Stegostoma tigrinum: one gene and its partners. The main gene of each other region encodes a partner of the protein of the gene in region 2 in a complex. Links are inferred from orthologs where the notes say so. Each region holds a gene or a part of one and is shown on either strand. Other genes may lie near its edges.

What was found. The genes of interacting proteins can lie anywhere in the genome.
Region 1: polr1b (region 2) and taf1b share a complex: the UniProt entries of both Homo sapiens proteins name them as parts of the pol I pre-initiation complex. The link is inferred for Stegostoma tigrinum from reciprocal best matches to the Homo sapiens genes POLR1B and TAF1B.
Region 3: polr1b (region 2) and polr1f share a complex: the UniProt entries of both Homo sapiens proteins name them as parts of the RNA polymerase I (Pol I) complex. The link is inferred for Stegostoma tigrinum from reciprocal best matches to the Homo sapiens genes POLR1B and POLR1F.

Annotation. Positions count from the first base shown.
Region 1 is NC_081357.1:115,511,599-115,518,627, forward strand, and holds the start of taf1b (TATA box-binding protein-associated factor RNA polymerase I subunit B), read left to right. Parts: upstream 1-4,010; 5' UTR 4,011-4,025; coding exon 4,026-4,109; intron 4,110-4,599; coding exon 4,600-4,698; intron 4,699-7,029. UniProt on the Homo sapiens protein: Component of RNA polymerase I core factor complex that acts as a GTF2B/TFIIB-like factor and plays a key role in multiple steps during transcription initiation such as pre-initiation complex (PIC) assembly and postpolymerase recruitment events in polymerase I (Pol I) transcription.
Region 2 is NC_081357.1:19,879,677-19,886,598, forward strand, and holds the start of polr1b (DNA-directed RNA polymerase I subunit RPA2), read right to left. Parts: upstream 3,022-6,922; 5' UTR 3,009-3,021; coding exon 2,799-3,008; intron 1-2,798. UniProt on the Homo sapiens protein: Catalytic core component of RNA polymerase I (Pol I), a DNA-dependent RNA polymerase which synthesizes ribosomal RNA precursors using the four ribonucleoside triphosphates as substrates.
Region 3 is NC_081355.1:73,093,627-73,100,868, reverse strand, and holds the start of polr1f (DNA-directed RNA polymerase I subunit RPA43), read left to right. Parts: upstream 1-4,223; 5' UTR 4,224-4,238; coding exon 4,239-4,450; intron 4,451-7,242. UniProt on the Homo sapiens protein: Component of RNA polymerase I (Pol I), a DNA-dependent RNA polymerase which synthesizes ribosomal RNA precursors using the four ribonucleoside triphosphates as substrates.

The DNA.
Region 1 (7,029 bases), about 96 Mb from region 2:
CAAAGACGGGCAACAGAAATTCTGGACTACCAACATAAGGAAAAGGGTTTTAACAGAGAATTTAACACAGTACTATTTGGAAAGGAGTTCCAAGATTTTGATTCAGCAACTTTGAAGTCAGAATAACGCATAGCTTAGAGGGAAACTTGCAGGTGATGGTGTTCCCAACCAAGCTCTTGTCCTTCTCGATCACAGGGGTCACAGGTTGGTAAGTCTTGGTGAGTTATGCAATTGTATCTCATAGATGATACCCACTGCTGCCATTGTGGTGAAGGGAGTGAATGTTGAAGGTGGTGAATGGATACTAATCAAGATACAATTCTGAAGAGGCTAACAAAGTTTACGCCAGGATAAGAATGAACTGGGGATCAAAGGCACTAAGAATAATAGCAACCTTATAAAAACAGCATCCTGAAAGAGTGCAGACATGAACATCCAATGCTCAGACAAACAAAAGAACACACTCTCAAAACATATAACAATATTATCTTAAGGCAGTTTCAGCCATATCTGAACAATGCTCTCTTCCTTTTCACTGAGAGAACATGTGCAAAACTGAAGGAAAATGGGACTAAATTGTACAGGTTAACAATGTTCCCTCAACACTAAACTGTGAATGGCACCAGAAAATTGTAAGCTTTTTATAAATGAGAGATAAAGTGAATAAAAAGTAATAATGGGATACAGATGGACTCAAGTTTTATTCTGACTTTACTGTAACATTACAAACAGAAATACAAAATCAAAATACTATTAATGCTGGAAATTTGAAATAAGATCAAAATATGCTCGAAAAGTTCAGCAACTCAGGCAGCAACTAGGCAGAAAAAGAGTGTTGATCTAATCAAAATTGTTGTAGAAATAAGAATATTTGTGAGGGGTGGATCATGCCTCACAAACCTTATTGAATTCTTTGCAGAGGTGACCAAACATGTGGATGTGGTATACATGGATTTAAGTAAGGCATTTCATAAGGTTCCCCATGGTAGGCTCATGCAAAAAGTAAGGAGGCATGGGATGGGGGAAATGTGACAGATTGGATTCGGAATTGGCTGACCCTTAAAAGGCAAAGGGTGGTAGAGGATGGAAATTATTCAACATGGTGCTCAGTTATGAGTGGTGTACCACAAGGATCTGTTCTCAGTCCTCATCTATTTCTGATTTTTATAAATAATTTGGATGACTGAGTGGAAGGGTGGATTAGTCAGTTCGCGGACGATACGAAGGTGGGGTGGAGTTGTGGATAGTGTGGAAGGCTGTTCTAGGTTACAAAGGGATATTGGTAGGATGCAGAGTTCTGCTGAGAAATGGCAGGTGGAGTTTAACCCTGAAAAGTGTAATGTGATTCATTTTGGAAGGACAAATTTGAAAGTGGAATACAGGGTTAACTGAAAGATTCTTGGTAGTGTGGAGGAGCACAGGGATCTTGTGGTTCATGTCCACAGTTCCCTGAAAAATGGGTAGAGTTGTTAAGGAGGTGTATGGTGTGTTAGTTTTCATTAATAGAGGGATTGAGTTCAAGAACCATGAAGTTATGCTCCAGCTATACAAAACCCTGGTTCGGCCACATCTGGAGTATTGTGTCCAGTCCTGGTCGCCTCATCACAGGAAAGATGCGGAAGTGTTGGAAAAGGTGCAGAGGAGATTTACCAGGCTGTTGCCTGGAATAGAAGGAAGGTCTTACGAGGAAAGGTTGAGAGAGCTAGGGCTTTTCTCTTTAGAAGGATGAGAGGTGACTTGATGGAGGTGTACAAAATGATCAGAGGTACAGATAGAGTGGACAGCCAGAGACTTTTTCCAGGGGTGGAGATAGCTATTACGAGGGGGCATAATTTTAAAGTGAGTGGATATAGATATAGAGGAGACGTCAGAGGTGGGTTCTTTACTCAGAGAGTGGACAGGGCGTGGAATGCATTGCCAGAGAGGGTAGTGGATTCAGCCACATTCGGGACATTTAAGCAGCTATTAGATAGCCATATGGATGATAGTATAAGTTAGGGGTGGAGGTTGGATTGACCTGGTGCAGTAAGTTTTTTAAAAACAGATGTAGGTATCCTCACTAGAGGACCACTGGTGTGCACGTAACTTCATAACGGACTTTTATATAAGGGACACTCCACTACTTGTTTTTGAATTTTTTTCACTTCTGTTATGAAGCTGTTTTAAACACTATTCCAGGTCTATCATGTCCAAACAATTAAATGTTGTACAAACATCTGAGCCCATTTTTCAGTTTAAAGGTTGACTTCATTCTATTTACATCTGATCAGTTGTTATGCCATCCCACGCCCTCCCCATGCAAATTTTGCTGGAAAACGTGCTGAGTTGAATTGATTACATTGTTCCGACGTGGTATGATCCGTGAGTTGTGAGGCCTCATTGTGTTCACTTTGCATTGCGCATTGTTCTTCGGAGTATTTTTTTTATTGTGAAAATATCTTACTCATTTAAAAAAAAAGTACGTACACAGATACTAAAGCAGTTCTGTACAGTGTTCGCACGTCAAGAAAAGCTGTAATCTGACATTCCCTGCGGTTGCAAAAACCAAAGACATTTCTTATTTATGCAGGACACTACGTACATTTGAGGCAACGAGAGGGTCTGACACTGAACGCACCACCATTGTACTTCGGCAGAGACTTCAGACGGTGCCATTCTCCGAGTTTTAAATCACCTCCTTGTTGTCTAGACATTGAATCACACGATTACTGTCCTTCCACGCCTCTTTTCCCTGATTGATTTTCATCTAATGATTATTCACGCACTAGGTTTCAGTTTCCAACGAACCCTACCCAATCTTGCGTCGTTCCATTTCGACGAAATTAAAACCTTCCACAGGCCAAATATTCAAACTGCTGACTGAAAAGTTAAGTTTAAAAATAAACTGGGTCATATTTACGTGTCCGACACAGCCTCTTAAAAGGCACAAACCCATTCACGGACAGAGCGCGTGTGTTGATGCATTAAAAGTGAAATGTATTAAACTTCGCGCAGGGTTTCCTGCCTATTCGGTGAACTTCAAGGAGCAGGCGGTCACGTTCCGCCGGATACGGACAGGTTAGAGCGGCGGACCGGAAGTGCGCTGTGGGGGGGGGGGAGGTGGTCCGGTTGGAACTGCTTTGGGGGGTGGGAGGAGTGCTCGGGGTTTGGGGAAATGGATGAGGAGGACACGGTGAGTGGAGCGGGCAGAGGGCGTGGAGCAGGCCGCCCTTCACCTGTGATGCCGCTAAGGGCCTCACCCTCATTTGAACGGTGTTACTGTAGAACTTTAAATCTGTCAGCAAGGAGGTGATCTGTCGCCACACTTCTGTTAATATAAATGACTCATTGGTTTGGGTGGACCGTCTCGGCCTGAAGCTCTCTCAGTCCCCCCTCCACACCCCCTTTACTGGCCTGAGCGTCATGGTGGGTCTGACAGTCTTCCCCGACTTAATCCCTCGGAGATATGACATCCTCGCCAAGCTAAACAGTTGGCTTTTACACTCCCTCGCCCTTGCCAGCCCCTACCTTCTTGCCGTCCTCCATATTCCCCATCCTCTGTGTATACCTCGACATTTCCCCACCATCTACCCTAACCCACTCCATCATTTATCTAGGAAACTGGCCAACTGCCACGCCATTCCCATACTCACCGACATACTTGCACTTGCGCTGCACATGTCAAAGTAACCGTCTGCCTTTAAATCTCTGAATACTGCACGCTGCTTGCTGCAAAAGGGGACTCTGAATTCTTCTCCCTTTTGCCCCATCCCCTCCAATTGACTATCCTGCGGAAGTGTTAGATCTCCTATTTCAGGATGAGGTGGGATCAGAATTCTCAGCTGAAATAGCGGACTTCAGTCCTAACAGCAAAAATGGAATTGAGGTGGTAATCTAACTGCGATTACAGTAAGGCATAATATCTAGTAGTAATAGACCATTCAGTCCAACAGGTCTGTTCCACTTTTAGTGAAATCATGACTGATTTGATAATCCTGAACTTCCTGGCTTTTACTCATAACTTTTGATTGAGGCCAAAATGTTGCATGTTTTCAAAAAGGAATTGGAGAAAGTTGTTATGGCTAAAGGGATCAAACAGTAAGGGGAGAAAGCAGACACAGTGTAGTGAGGTGAGTGATCAACCATGATAATGTTGAATGAACAGAGCAGGCTTGAAACACTGATTGGCCTACCTTCCTGTTTTCTGAGCTTATATTCCCTTACTGATGAGAAATCTGTCTATCTCAGCCCCTGAACATGTGCTTAATGGCTCAGCCTCCACAGCCATCTGTGTTAAAGAAGTCCTACTCCTCAGAGTGTCCATGCCATGGGCATTTTGTACAAGCTGGACATGACTAGGCTAAACTTGTTTGGTTTAGCAAATGAAGGCATTCCCATATTGGGAGCTTGTCATGTACACAAACATTCCTGGCATTTTGATTGTAATTACTGCTATCACTGTGAAATTACATTTTAATCTGTATGTGAGGTGTGGAATAAAAGTTACGATTCCTTCATTTTGGTTTCTTTATCCCCTTGCCAAAATGACATTGTATCATCTCATTCATGCATCAGTTTCTTTAGGAAAGGATTTGTTGAAATCTACATTTGTCTTTTCAGAGAGATTTCAGAGAGGCATGTGAACGATGTGCTGTGATTAACTGGGCAATTTCAGATGAAGGCAAATTCTTCTGCAAGTCCTGCCACAATGTTATTGAGGTGAGTACTATTTCATTAAGATTATATTTTATGTTCCCTCATTTAAGGACTGATCAAGTTACTGAAGACAATAACTTGTGGTATAATTACACGTACAATTTACAGGCAACCTTGATAGAGAATTTGTAAAGGTATCTAGATGAAACTACAATAGTTTTGAAATATATTGGTAAAATTTTCGTCAGTAAAATTAAGAGACAAAGAACAGTGACAATGTTTATTGTGAATACCAAGATCACGTTGAAGAGGGTGGAGGAGATGGTGTGGGTAAAGGGGAAAGCAGGAGAGAGAGCAGAGGTGTGTGTGTGTGTAGTCACACATGTGGGCAAGGTGTGTAGAGGGACGAGTGGGAATGGTACGGCTGAGCGTCTAGGGGAGGTATGGGTGTGAGAGTGTGGGAGCTGGTGCAGGAGAGAGGGAGTGGAGAGGGGCAGGTAAATGGGGGATTGGGTGAGGCTAGTGACATGGGGAACATACAAGGTGCAGCGGTGGGGAGGGCCAGACAAGGGTAACAGAGACCGTACCCAGAAAACTGTGAACACTTTTGGCCACCTTATCTAAGCTATATTTGTGTGAGAGTCACTCCAGAGAAGGTGCACTAGGCTGATCCCATGTATGAAGGGACTGTTTTAGGAGGTGAGGTTGAGTAGGTTGGACATGTACTCATTGGAGTTAAGAATGAGAGATGACCATATTGAAATATACAAGACTTTTAGGGATAGTCTGAAGAAAGATTTTTCGGGGACTTCACAAGGTAGTTGAAGAAAGCATGTTTTCCCTTCTGGGGAAAGTCTACAACCAGAGGTCAAAATCTCAGAATAAGGCGTCACTCATTTAATACGCTAAATTAAGATGAGGAGGAATTTCTTCTTTGAGGGCTGTCATCTGTTGAATTCTTTACCACAGAGGGCTGAAGAAACTGGGCTGTTAAGTATATTTAAATCTGGGATGGATCAATTTTGATCAGTAAGAGAATCTAGATTATGGAGAAAAGGCAGGAAAGTGGAGTTGAGGATTATTAGATCGGACATGGTTTCATTAAATGGTGGAGCAGACTTGATGGGCTGAATAGCCTACTTTTGCTCTGACACTTTGTGGTTCTATTAGTAAAACAAATGTGACCAGTGAATATGGCAAAAGAACCAGAGGTGAAATAGAGAAACATTATTTACACAGCAAACTGTTATGATTTGGAATGCACTGCTTGAAAGTGTGATTAAAGCACAGTCAATAGTAACTTTCATCCTTTCTTGTCGTAGTAAATTTTCAAAATATGAAGTTCTGTAGGAAATCTTTGTTGGATATTTGACCCGGCAATTTAATTTCTAACCTGGTAAGATAGGGATTCATTACTGGACAGGTGTTCGGGAAAGTTACCTGTTTCATCTTGTAATCGCACTGAATCAACATTGTCTTTGAAGAGAACGTCGGGAAATCTCCATTAAGCTCTTCACAGGTGAATAAGCTCACACGATATAACTTGACTATAACCATTCAAAAAGTTTAAATAGCTGACACAACAAAAACAGAAGTTACTGGAAAAGCTCAGCAGGTCTGGCAGCATCTGTGAAAAAAAGAAATTAGAGTAAATGTTTGAGGTCTGCTGGCTGCTCCCTGAGGAAGGGTCACCAGACCCGAAACGTCAGTTCTGATTTTTTTTCTTCACAGATGCTGCCAGACCTGCTGAGCTTTTCCAGTAACTTCTGTTTCTGTTCCTGATTTACAGCATCCACAGTTCTTTGGGTTTTTAAATAGCTGTCATGTCACTTTCAATTTCCAGGTAGCGCATTGAATCATTTTATAATATTGGTAGGAAATGAAATTTATAATCAGACACTAGAATACAAGTCTACACAGGCCAACCTGATGTCTTAGAGTGCATTGATAAAACCTCATACTGTGTTTAATTTTGTTCACTGTAATCACCAAGATATAGTTGCATTGTAAAGGATAAGAACAGTCTCAGCAAAAGTTGCCATTGTCAAAGGTTACAGGTCACATATTTGGCTTGCGTGCATTTGCCGATCACCACATGAGTTGAGCTGGTGCTGTACTTGACAGTTGCTCTGGGGTGTGGGAAGGGAGTATCATCTTGCATTCACATTCAAGAATCATACATTTAGTGCAGGCATTACTTCATCCACCAAACATTACTAGTTTTGCAGAATACACTGGATGAAGATGTCTTGCAACAATATTCCAACAGTTTTCACAGTCACTGGATGTCTCTGTGCGCTTTATGTCTAATGAAGTACTGGTGTGATCATTGTAATGTAGGAAAAGCAGCAGCCAACTTGCACAGCAGAAGCCCACAAACAACAATGTAATAAT
Region 2 (6,922 bases):
GCTGCCAAAGGAAGTGAAGGAGGCTAGTACAATTACAACATTTAAAAGGATGGGTACAGGAATAAGAAAGGTTTAGAGGGATATGGGCCAAATGCTGGCAACGGGACTAGATTTATTTTGGATATCTGGTCAGCATGGACAGGTTGGACCAAAGGGTCAGTTTCCATTCTGTATACATCTCTATGACTCTAATAAAGCAGTTAAGAAAGGATATGGGATTCTGGGTTTTATTGTCGGGTACAAATGCCAGGATATTATACAAGAATTGACCGAAATAAAATACCAGTGCTGTCCAATCAGGAGCATTGTGTCCAATTAAGGAAGATTACAAAGATTTTGGACAGAATTTTAAAAATTAATAGAATAGGTTCAACAATGAGGGATTATAATTGCATAGAAAGACTGGAGGAGGTGTGAGACCTCTTGAAGCAAAGAAGATAAAGATGAGATTTGACTCATTCAAGAAGAAATTCAATAAATAATTGAAGAGTAAAAACAGCAAGGATGTTGACTGCACTTCAAAGAATCTTGAGTGGAGAAGTGGTTCCCTTCTATGTTCTACATCTCTACAGTAATTAAGGAAACTAGTGGGAATGGCTGATGAATAAAGCCCAGCCCAACCAACTGAAGAGCTACCAAGGCCCAGGCTGACATTTGCTCTTGCAATTCAGAGCACCGGCATCTGGGTGGTGGCTCAGGGTCCATATTACTGCTGCCTTGGAGCATGTTTCTGATGCCTCTGATGTCATTACTCAGATTCATGTAGCTATTCTCCCTGTCCAGTTGCTGCTTTCATATAAACATACATTTGGAATACTGTGTGCAGTTCTGATCTCAGAGGTAGTAGGAACTGCAGATGCTGGAGAATCTGAGATAACAAGGTGTAGAGCTGGATGAACATAGCAGGAAGGCTGACGTTTCGGGCCTCGACCCTTCTTCAGAAAATGTACAAGGATGCTGCCAGGATTGGAGGGTTTAAGCTTATAGGGAGAGGCTGAATAGCTGGGGCTATTTTCCCTGTTGCAGTCAGAGGCCGAGGGGTGACCTTATAGAGGTTTATAAAATCATGAGGAGCATGGATCGGGTAAATAGTCAAGGTCTTTTAAAAATTTAAAAGCACTTTCTGTTTCTGTGCAGTACATCTCTGTGACTCTATATTAGAATCAGGGGTAGGCCATTCAGCCTCTTGAGTCTACAACACCATTTAGTAAGATCACAGCTCACCTGATTACAACTCCAAATCCCCATTCCCACCAAACCCTGATTTTCATCACCTAGCACAAGATGATTGTACATACGGTTCCTTGAAAATTCCACTACCACCACTTTTTTTTAAAGAAACAGAGTTCTAAGGCTCCCAATGCACAGCCGAGAAGAAAAATAATCTCATCATTGTTTTAAATAGGTGACTGCAACCCTTAATTCAAGACTCTCCCATAAAAGAAAACATCCTTTCCTCATCTGCCTATCAAGAGCCTTGCTCCTGAGACGCTGCTTGGCCTGTTGTGTTCATCCAGCTCCACACTTTATTTTGAATTCTCCAGCATCTGCAGTTCCCATTATCCCTTGCAAGGTGCTGTTGCTCATCACCCATACCATGGTCGATGTTGCCAATGCCCAGATCCTTAAGACTGATACTCCAACCGCTGCTGTTTCCCAGGTCCATGTTGCTGATCCTTCTATGGTCCAACTACCCTGTGCTATTATGCTCCGTTACATGCCTCATGGCCCACTGCAGTTATGCCTCCTCTATAGCTGCTGCTGTTTCCCAGGTCCATGTTGCTGATCCTTCTATGGTCCAACTACCCTGTGCTATTATGCTCCGTTACATGCCTCATGGCCCAATGCAGTTATGCCTGCTCTATAGCCACTGCTGTTGCCCCTGTACATGTTGATGCCTCAGGGCCCATGCCCCATTGTTGCCCCCCCCCATGACCATGCACCATTGTTGTTGTCCCCCGCCCCGAGCCCGTGCCCCATTCTTGCCTTCTTGCCCTCCGGCCCCCCACCCCCGCTCCATGGTCCGTGCCTCGTTGTTGCCCTCCGGCCCCTCCAGCCCGTACCCCATTGTTGCCGCCCGTGACCCCCCCCAACCCCCTCCAGGGCCCGTGTCCCATTGTTGCCCTCCGTTACCGCGCCCCCCCCCCTCCAGGGCCGTGCCCCATTGTTGCCCTCCGTTTCCGCCCCCCCCTCCAGGGCCCGTGCCCCATTGTTGCCCTCCGATTCCGCCCCCCACCCCAGGGCCCGTGCCCCATTGTTGCCCTCCGTTTCCGCCCCCCACCCCAGGGCCCGTGCCCCATTGTTGCCCTCCGTTTCCACCCCCCCCCCTCCAGGGCCCGTGCCCCATTGTTGCCCTCCGTTTCCGCCCCCCACCCCAGGGCCCGTGCCCCATTGTTGCCCTCCGTTTCCGCGCCCCCCCCCCCTCCAGGGCCCGTGCCCCATTGTTGCCCTCCGTTTCCGCGCCCCCCCCCCCTCCAGGGCCCGTGCCCCATTGTTGCCCTCCGTTTCCGCGCCCCCCCCCCAGTGCCCGTGCCCCATTGTTGCCCTCCGTTTCCGCGCCCCCCCCTCCAGTGCCCGTGCCCCATTGTTGCCCTCCGTTTCCGCCCCCCCCTCCAGTGCCCGTGCCCCATTGTTGCCCTCCGTTTCCGCCCCCCCCCCAGTGCCCGTGCCCGTGCCCCATTGTTGCCCTCCGTTTCCGCCCCCCCCCCCAGTGCCCGTGCCCCATTGTTGCCCTCCGTTTCCGCCCCCCCCCGCCCCGACACGAACCCATGCCCCACGTGCTCTGGGCTCGCACTCACCTGCACGGCCCTAGCCAGCCCCTCGCTCACCGCCTGGTCGAACGAGTCCACGTGAGCCGCGACCAACTCCAGCAATGCCCTCCGCCGCTGCCGCTGCTCCGGGTCCGGGTCCAAGCCCACTCGCCCCATCCTCAGCCCCGGCTCTGTCAGGTTCTTCAGGCTCGGCCGGAGCCGCTCTTCGCCACACAGCTGCCTCCACTTGTCCGCCATTTGTCCAACGAGATAGAAGGATCGGGGGGGCAACAACGGCAAACGATAAAGGTTCCGCTTCAGGATCGCCGAGCGTGCGCAGGAGGGAGGGGGATGCAATGCTGAGTTCCCAACTCAAGACATTTGGATTGTGCCTCAATTCATGTTCATTCATTTTAAACAGATAGCTTTTACTTGCATGAGTATTATTCCAACAATATGTACAAAACAAATTAGTTGATTGGAAGGTAATGACATTTCCTTTATATTTAAAAGGCGTTGTTTTCGCCGAAATCAAAAGATAAATGTAGTTGTTGTAATCGTCGAACAGAAACATGATGTGGAGTGCTTCCTTACTGTCCTGTGTTGACAGCATCACCTTGATAAAGTGTTATGATCATAGAATCCCTACAGTGTAGAAGCAGGCCATTCGGCCCATCGAGTCCACACGGACCCCAGGAACAGCGTCCCACCCAGGCCCATCCAATCCCCGTAACCCCGCATTCCCCATCGCCGACCCACCGAGCCTGCACTTCCCTGCAAACTATGAGCAGTTTTTGCACGGCCAAACCTACACATCTTCGGACTGTGGGTGCAGGCTGGAGCGCCCAGAGGAAACCCACACAGTCATCCAAGGGTAGAATCAAATCTATGACTTTGACGCTGTAATGCTAACCACTGAGCCACCATCTCTACCTTAATTAGTTTGTAGATTGGAAATATTCATTATTTTGCTTAGACCCTCAGCATGTGACTGCCATACCTATCCTGTTATTTCCAGTTAGTTTAGTTGTTTTGTAATTATCTCTCTGCCTCATAATCGGATTATAGGCGTCCCTTCACTTGTTATTCAGCTGTCGACTCTTTATTCACACCATCTATCACTCTCGGATACCTGCAGGGACTTATCATTGGACTCACACCAGTTCTAACTCTCTGCCCTTGATTTCTGTTGTCTAAATTGGTCTGTGTGCTCTTTGCTCACACTTCACCTGAGCAAGAGGCTGCGCTCCAAAAGCTTGTGATATTAAATAAACCCGTTGGACTATAGCCTGGTGTCGTGTAAATTAAAAATAATCTGTAAACACAGTTCCATATGTTGTGCACTTTTTGATGGTATTTATTGAGTCAACCTATGGAGACCATAATCTCTCCCTCATTTTACATTCACGAATGTAATTCAATCCGTAAATCCACAAAATAAAAAAAGACAACTGCAGATTCTGGAGATCGGAAACAAAAACAGAAATTGCTGGCAAAACTCAGCAGATCTGGCGCAGTTCCAATTAAGAGACAATGGCTTTGAAATGTTAACTCTGCTTTCTCCCACAGATGCTGCTAAACATGCCGAGTTTCGACAGCAATTTCTATTGTTGCTGCCAATCCATGGTTTTTTTTCTGATGAAGAGTCTAGGCCCGAAACGTCAGCTTATGTGCTCCTAAGATGCTGCGTTCATCCAGCTCCACACTTTGTTATCATGAATTTCACCCTGTCCTTTCTTTTATTGATAAGATTTGTTAACAGTACAAATCATAGTACAAGGTTGGCTATACAATGCAACAAACCCTTCGATCTTATCATCTGTGTTACATTGGTGCATTTGATCCACATGCATCCCTCATCCATTTGGAAAACTGTTCACTTTTGTCTGTTACTAAGAAAGTTTTACACGTTAGAAAAGGATACTTTCAGCATAGAAGGGAGAAATGACAAAGAAACATTAATCAGGCTTAAAGCTTGTGTGCTTTAAGAAATTTTTTGAAAAATCACAAAAAATAAATATTATCTTAAAAAGACTCTAAATTATGCCAAAAAAGGAGGTAAAGGACATAAGTTATAAATCAGTGTTAATTTGGTACAGGTATCAGGAGAACCATTCTTACCCAATGAAAAATGTTTAAAATAATCTACCAAGCAATGTAGTAGAGGCAAACCAGTGCAGTTATTTAAAATACAATTACATATATCCCAGATTTTTCTCCATTGTTGTAAAGGTCATAAAGTTCAAAATGTGAACATCTTTCCCGATTATAAAGAGCAATAGCCTAGGCCTTAAATTTAAAGATATTAATTCAAGAACAAAGTTCTAATGCTCTCCACAATCTACCATTTTGTTGCCATGGTTTATAAGAGCAACCCAACTGAATTACCATGTTAGGGTACACATTATTTTCTATGTGCCCATCAATCTGAACCTTTTTAGCAAATGGCCATGGAACAACTATCCATGACATTACATGACTATTGTCCCCTTGCCCACCTTAACCTGAGGGTTTGTTTACGATTCTTTCTGAGAATAAATACTTATTTTCAAAAACAATATACTGGCAGGGTCCTAAAGAACTACAGATGCTGTACATTAGAAAAAAAAACAGAAAATGCTGGAAGAACTCAGCAGATCTGGCAGAATCTGTGGAAAGGGTTACTCAATCCAAATCGTTAACTCAGACTTCTCTCCACAGTTTCTGCCAGATCTGCCGAGCTTTTCCACCAACAGGGTTTGTTTGGTACCAGATACTTGTTGATGCTAATTCATGGCATTATGTCCTTTTTTGTAATTTTTCATTTTAATTTCATATGAGAACTTTGAAATTGAAGGTACAGGTGTCCTAGCTTTTAAATGAAACCCTGTGCTATATACAGCAAATACTAGGAAAATTTAGTTTTAAAGGGACACCAATATTCAACAGCCTGTATCTAATAAAACTTGATGTTCCGACCCCTCCTGATTACTTGTGCTCCCCGTGGTGATTTGTTTTATTTTAGACTCATATAAAGATCGACACTATTCATTACTCTGGATCCTCCAATACCATAGCATTTGACGGACAGATTTTCTACACCAGATGTTATCTTTTTATCTTCCTTTATCATTTGGTACTTGGTCTGTGATGAATTTCTACACAATATTTGTAGAAGTAAAACTTGTAAATATTCAATTATCTGCACCAGGTGGGAGATGTTCCTCTCTTCACTACGGCTGTTCATGATCGTTTCTGTAAATGGTTGTATTGCATTAATTCAGTATTGTTTAATTTGGGCTTGATAACATCCATTAAAGGTGCTAACATGAATGTAATAAATATCCCAAGGCACTTCACAGAAATTTCATTAAAGAAAATTTGATACTGAACTACATAAGGTGATACCTGAACATGTGACCAAAAGGTAGGTCAAAAGGGCCATCTTAAAGATGGTGGAGCAATTTAGAGGGAATTCCAGACATCAGACATTGTGTGGCTAAAGCCTCAGGTGGGAAAATGGGAAAATTTGCTCCATTCAATTGCAGAGTCAGAACAATGTCCACATGGGTATAGATCAAGGCCATATTTATCACAAGAACACAGTCTCAATTGACACAGTTTACATATCAGGGAAGTTCTAACATGGATCTGCTCAGAGTTGGCTGACTCAGCATAAAAGTGAAGGTGGAACTCAGCATGCACCTGCCTCATGGATCAGTATCGACTGGAAGATGTTATAATAGAGACAAGTTGAATTTTGTTGCAAATTCTGTAATGGTCAAGTGGATATAATTTATAGTTATTTAAAAACAAACTTTATGAATAAGTATGCAGTCTCAGATAACTCAGTAGAAGGTAGCGAGTTTGGAGAAGATTTGTAGCTCAAGTTGAGTTTCTGGATGTGAGTTTGCTCCCCAAGCTGGAAGGTTAGTTTTCAGACGTTTCGTCACCATTCTAGGTAACATCTGTTACCTAGAATGGTGATGAAACGTCTGAAAACTAACCTTCCAGCTCAGCGAGCAAACTCACATCCAGAAACTCGTAGAAATTGGTGTATAGTGAATAATTTATTTCAATTGCACTTTCCATCATTTTCAATTTGAAATATCTTATCATTAGGCTATATGCTAACATGGAACATTTACTGTAAGTACAAGGGATCCCCAATTTATGAACACACGCTCATACTT
Region 3 (7,242 bases), on a different chromosome or scaffold from region 2:
CATTCGAATAATAACATGAAAAGGAAAGGTTCGGAGGGATGTGGGCCAGGTGGGACTAGTTTAGTTTGGGATTATGTTCAGCAAGGACTGGTTGGACCAAAGAGACGGTTTCTGTGTTTTATGACTCTATGATGCACTCATAAGCTTCTTAAACTGAGAACTAACTTTCCATCCATGTGTCAACTTGGCAATATTTCACTCCAGATTTGCAAGTTGTCAATAGTACCTAATTAAATCTGTTAAGGCTCAGGTAATGGTTCCCAGAACAAATTTGTTCGAGATCACTAAGGAGTTAGGATGTGCTACATTGTAAATGTCACAGACATAAATGTGTTTATTTACCTTTGTTTGCAAATTAAATATTAGGAGGGACTGTTGTGAATGTTGTTCCGCTAAAGCTATCCTCTGATTCAATGATGTCGATTACTCTTGTTATTGACCTGGGCACCCAACTTTCACAGCACTTGGTTCCCACTGCCCTATATTATACTTGCAACGGTGTAAGTTCTGTATTTGAAGCATATGGACATATTCAATCTCTCTGATGATTGACCCATTAATTGTCAAGGAGGTAAATTTTCATTCAAATTATTGACTGATTTATTCCAAAGAAAGATAAAATGTACAATAAACAAATCTGTTCAGAGTCACTTAATTTATCAGGCAAAACTTATGGTCACAAATGTGACAACAATGAAGAACACAGGTCACTTGGAATCGATTAGAACATAGAATGTAGAACAATACAGCACAGTACAGGCCCTTGGGCCTACGATGTTGCGCCAACCTGTTATCCTACTGTAAGATCAAAACTAACCTGCATAACCTTCATTTAACTATCATCCTTGTGCCTATCCAAGAGTCGCTTGAATGATCCTAAGGTATCTGACTGCACTACCACCGTTGGCAGCACATTCCACTCACCCACCACTCTCTGTGTGAAGAAACTACCTCTGACATCTCCACGACACCTTCCTCCAATCACTGTAAAATTATGCCCCTCCTAATAGTAATTTCCACCTTGGGAAAAAGTCTCCGGCTATCCACACTATCTATGCCTCTCATCATCTTGTACACCTCTGTCAAGTCACCTCTCATCCTTCTTCGCTCCAATGAAAAATGCCCTACTTCCTTCAATCTTTCCTTATAAGACCTGCTCTCACGTCCAAGCAGCATCCTGGTAAATCTCCCCTGCACCCTCTCTAAAGCTTTCTCATTCTTCCTATAATGAGGCGACCAGAACTGAATGGAATATTCCAAGTGTGGTCTAACCAGGGTTTTATAGAGCTGCAGCATAGCCCCGCGGCTCTTAAACTCAATTCCCCAGCCAATGAAAGCTAACACACCATACACATTCTTTACAACCCTATCAACTTGGGTGGCAACTTTGACGGATCTACGGACGTGAACCCTAAGATCCCTCTGTTCATCCACACTACCAAGAATCCTGCCATTAACCCCGTAAGAGGATTGTGTCCTCTTATTTAACTTAATAAGAATAAGTCTGCCTGTTTTGTTTCTTTGTGGTCTTGGAATAATCCCATCTTTGCTTCCCTTTAGGATCCTGGCTGCTCCAACATTTTCTCAGCATATCCTTGACAGACTGCCTTTTTGGTGTTTGGGTTCGGAGTTTTAGTACTCTCTTTCACAGATCTATCAAGACCAAAAGGGAATTTTCATATGTGATGATGTGAGATGTATTTTGAGTGCCAGATATGCTAAAGAATCTCCCTAAGAGAGAATTCAGAGAAATGACTTGTCATTTTGTGTATTAATTTACTTTTGCCTGACCAAGGATCAATAACTTCCTGTAATCATGACCTGAGAAACTAGTCTTTTTGAGATATACCTTTGCTCCAAATATGTTTTAAAGGTTTTCTCTGCCTAGGCAATAGATCAATATATAACAATGATGACCGACCCATGAGGTTAACAAGTAAGAAAATAAAATACGACTTCTAAAAAACTTGTCATGTTCCTCAAAGCAACTTTTTGAAATATATTCATCTATCTGATCTCCTAGTTTTCTTTATTCACTTATTGGGCATGGGTGACACCGGCTGGACTGGCATTTATTGCCCCTCCCTAGTTGCTCTTCAGAAGATAATAGTGAGCTGCCCTCAAGTTAGTGTAGTTACACGCACAATGCCCTTAAGGAGGGAATTGCAGGATTTTGACTCAGTGACGCTGAAGGAATAGTGATACATTTCCATGTTATGATGGTGAGTGGCTTGTAGGGAAACTTGCAGTGTCCCCATATATCTGCTGCCTTTTACTTTCTGAGTGGAAGTGATCGTAGGTTTGGAGGGTGCTGTCTAAGCAGCTTTGGTGAATTTCTGCAACGCTGCTCATAGATAGCACCCAATGAGGCTGCTGTGCATCAGTAGTGGAGGAAGTGGGTTTTGATGGATGTGGGACCAGTTAAGCAGCCTGCTTAGTCCTGAATAGTGTTAAGTATCTTGAGTATGTGAGAGCTGCACTAAGCAAGTAGGGAGTATTTCATCAGAGTCCTGACTTGTGGTTTGTGCATGCTGGACAGGCTTTGGGGTACTTTGGGAATTACAGAAAAATTTCTTCCCTCTGACTTGCTCTTCTTACTGATAGTGGGCTTAGAATGCTACCCTGTAGAACTCCCGCATGGATATCCTGGAGTTGAGATGATTGATCTCCATCAATCACAACCTACTTCCTTTGGCTAGGACTGACTCCAACTAGCAGAGTTTTCTTCTTGATTCCCATTGATGCTAGTTTTGCTAGAATTCCTAGATGTCACACTTGATTAAATGAGGCCTTGCTACCACCCTTATTGCTTGCTCCGGGTGCTGAGGGGATGATGGTATGCTGTAAAGAGCAGGAGAATGTTTTTATACATGTTTGACCTGATGCCGTGGCACCTCATGACAAACAGAATCAACGTTGAAGACTCGCACGGCATGTCCCTCCTAACTGTATACTACTGTATTGTCATATCCACTAGATCTGTCCTGCCAGTGGATCATTGTCTGTGAAGTATCATTCTGTGTGTATGATTATGTCAAGTAGTTGCTTAATGAATCTATAAAACAGCTCTCTTAATTTTGGCTTGAAAGCCCAGATGTTAGTAAGTCAGAGTTAGCTTATAGAGTTGACAGGGTTGTGTTTGCTATTGTCCTTTCCTTGGTCAATGCCAAGTGGGTGTGACCTGTTTCACTGTTTTATTACTTTCTTGTAATTGATACATCTGAATGGCTTGCTAGGCCATTTCAGATGATGGTTAAGAGTCAAGCACATTATTGTTGGTCTGGAGCCAGGCCAGGCGAGAACAATAGTTCCGTTCCTATAGGACACTAGTGAACGAGATGGGTTTTCTCAACAACTGACATTGGTTTCTGGGTCATCATTAGGCTTTTAATTCCAGATTTTTATCAAATTGGAATTCCACCATTTGCTGTGGTGGAATTCAAACTCAGAACATTACCAGGGTCTTTGGCTTACTGGTCCAGTGGCAATATCTCGAGACCATCGCCTCGTCTCAAAGTAAGGACTGAAGTATGAAGGAATGAACAGAAGAATACTTTTCTCAGGGCTGTTTCCAGGACAATTCATTCTTGCCAGTAGAGAACTATTCACAAAATTGCCTGCAGAGATGAGAAACATCAGTAACATCAGTAGATTAGACAAAGTGGAATTGTACCTTTTGGAGGAGATTGAAGTGTGATTTAACAGAATTGTTGAAAATCATGAGGTGTTTGAACAGAATAGGTAGAGAGTGAACATTAATGGGAGCATTATAGACTACAGAACACAAACTTTCGATAACTGGTAAAGGAAGCATTCAGGGGAAATGTTTTAATTCAGTTATTAGGGTCTAGAATACACTGGCTGAGACTGTGGTGGAGACAGAATCAAAGGGAATTTTATCTTCATTTTGTTAAAAGGAAAAGTAGAGGGTTAGCAGCACCTGGTGAACTACAGATGGCTCGCTAAGTAACAAAAAAAACACACTGAATGGCCTCCTTCAGCAGTGGAATCATTCCAGGTGGACAGAGAGTACGATTTTAACTCTCGACATGGATGATTTTTAAATCTATTGAGAATTCTGACAGTAAATGTGATAACCACAGTTGCATAAACTTGACCACCTACAGCTCATTCCTCTCCTACTTCCCGTACCAGTTCTGACTGGAAACCAGCACCACCTGGTGGCCGGTGAACCACTTTACGACAGCTCGGCGCCGCTTTACGGCGGCAGCAGCAGCATGGCGAGTTCTGGGCCGGAGGGCCGTGTGGTCTCAGGGGGAGGACAGCAGCTCTCTTTCAGCCAGGCCTGCTCCCTCATCAAGAGCCCGTACTCGTGCCTGGTGCTGGACACCTTCCGAAGGCACATCACCCTGTCTCCAGTCTTCCTTAAGCGGCAGAGATCCGGCATCGAGAAGCAGCTCCGGACAGAGCTACTCCGTTTCTCCGAGAGGTGAGGGGCGCGGAAACAGGCCCTTCGGCCCAGCCCGGCCGTGCCGACCCGCTTTCCCTCAACTAAACCTCCCTGCGTTTGGCCCGTTATCACTCTTAAACTTTCCCTTTTCACGCGTCTGATGTGAGGGTGGGTGCGGGGTGAGACGAGTTGGGTGAGGAGGATGTAGGAGAGGGGCAAGAGGTGGAGGAGAAGAGAGAGGGAGCACTGGGGATTTGGAAAGATTACAGAAGACGGGGGAAGACCGGAGAGGCTGAATGAGAGGGCATCAGTTTCAGAGGGTGGAGGAGGGAACTCACTTAAAAACAAAGGTTTAAACTCCAAACTCATTAGCCCATGGATTTAAAATACAGAATCAATTCTGTATTCCTATTACTCTTACAAACACATTTGAAATCCGGCTTGACCTCTGTAGACCAGAACTCCATGGATCAGCACTCCGAAGCCAGCAAAGGACCCGGTCAGATGATCCAGATTCTCTATCACTCTACCAACTCAATGTCAGAACTGGTTCGCCTTACTTCGCTTCCTTACCCCTCTTCTCTCACCCATCCCAACTGAACTTCCCAAAGCCGTAGCCCAGTTTTTGCTCACCCCAATCTCAACTCTCCCCTTCTGGCAACCTTCTCTTAAACCGAACCCCATCTCTACCCCTATTTTTGCCACTCCCTCCTCCAGTTCTCCTTGCAGAAATTATATTTGCTCAGTTACCTGTTCACCTATATGTAAGTTGATTTATGTGCATGGACACCTGATAGACCCTTTGTGTTGCAGCATTCTGCTCTTTCTTTCCATTTAAGTAGCATTTTTGTCAATGCCAAGGGCAATGAACTTAAATTCCAAAGTATTCTCTTCTATAATTTTGTTAAATTCTGTTTCCTTTTAAAAATGGATAATGTTGCCGCACTTATAAAATAGCTGAGGCTGATCAAATGACTTTCAATAAGTTTCTGAAATACCTACGTTGTATCGTATTTCCACCTAAAACTGACGCACAGTTGCTGGTCACGAGCTGATTTTGTCAAGCCAGCTGTGGACAAAAGAAGTGTCTGTCCTTGTCATGTGGCTGAAATTTGAACTAGCTAACTTGCTTAAATATATAATTCTGGGATTCTAAGTCAGTTGCATGTTGACCTTAAAGGGAGAGCAGAACTTGCAAGTTAAGTTGGCAGCTTGCATCGGATAATCATTAGCTGGAAAAATGCCGAGTCTTTGTCTGGCAGAAGGGAAGATGCTGTTGTTGAAAAACTGTTCACCCTCTCACTTGCCCTCTTTGAGACACTGAACTGCTCAACAGCCAGTGTCGCTCTGCCTGGGCTCTCTGTCCCAGGCTTCCCTAGCTGTGTAAACATTCAGCTTTAGTAGGACCATCACTGCAAGAGTAACCATAGATGTTAATGCAAATAGAACCTACGAATGTTACCCGTGCGTGTGCAGATGCACTCAAGCTTAAAAATCTGTCACCACGTCTAATGGTGCAGATGGAAGTTTTGATGGTCATCTTTGTGTTTGTGTCAATTATTCCATTTGTTGTAGTAACACTGATTTTTATTGTCATATGTACAGAAATATAATGAAAGGCTTTGCTTACCATGACCTGCCCGTCACGCTCGTAAGCAAAGGATGTACAGATCAAAACAACTTAGAGGCATACAGGTTACATTGCAAGCATCATTATTTGAGGCTAGAGTCCATTCAACAGTCTGATAATAGCAGGACAGAAGCTGCTTGTGCGTGTATTCAGGTTTCTGTATCTTCTGCCTGACAGAAGAGGTTGTAGGGGATCATTACCAGGGTGCGATGGGTCTTTGATAATATTGGTCACCCTTCTGCAGCTGTGAGCTGTGTAATTAAAGTCCATGGACGGAAGATTGGCTTCTGTGATGGTCTGGGCCATACATACAACCTTTTGTAGTTTTTTACAGTCCTGGGCAGAGCAGTTGCCATACCAGGCCGTTATGCACCTGGACAGGATGCTTTCTATGGTGCATCTGTAGAATTTAGTGAGGGTATCTAAGGACATGCTAAATTTCCTGAACTGTCTGAAGAAAAAGAGGCATTGTTGTGCCGCCTTGACTGTGGCATTTACATGTTAAGTCCAGGACAGGTTATTGTCACTCCAAGGAACTTGATGCTCTTCACTCTCCACCTCAGTTCCATTGATGTAGATGAAGGTGTGTTCTCCTTTCTTTTTGAAGTAGATGGTCAGTTCTTTAGTTATTGAATGTTAAAAGGAGGTGGTTGGACACTGTCTCGTTGGAGACTTTGGCACTTGTTGCTTATCAGCTTGAACCTGTGGAGTCCAGGTTTAACTGCATGTGAGTATAAACTCATTAGCTGAGGAATAGCAAATAAAACTGAACTTTGAGTAATCATCAGAGATTGTCCTCTCTTCTAATCATAACATTAAGGAAAGGTTATTCGTAAAACAGCTAAAGAACTTGGTCTACTGCTCTGTTGAGTTGGCTTTCAGCATCTACGATTTCCTTCCTTTTGTACTAGACTTCCAACAAATGGACAGTTTTCTCCAATTCCTATTGATGAAATTTTACTTGGGCTACTTGATGCCATGTGTCGTCAAACAGTAACTTGATAAGAAGGATATTGTTTCCTTTACCATCTTACTGTTTATCCATGTTTGGATCAACGCTGAATTGAGCTGAAGAGCCTAATGATCTCGGTGGAACCCAAATTGAGTAGATTATTGTTGACTGTGTACAATGATAGCACAGTCAATATCAGCTTCCATCACATTATGATTGAAAGTAGTTTTATGGACTGCTGATTGGCTG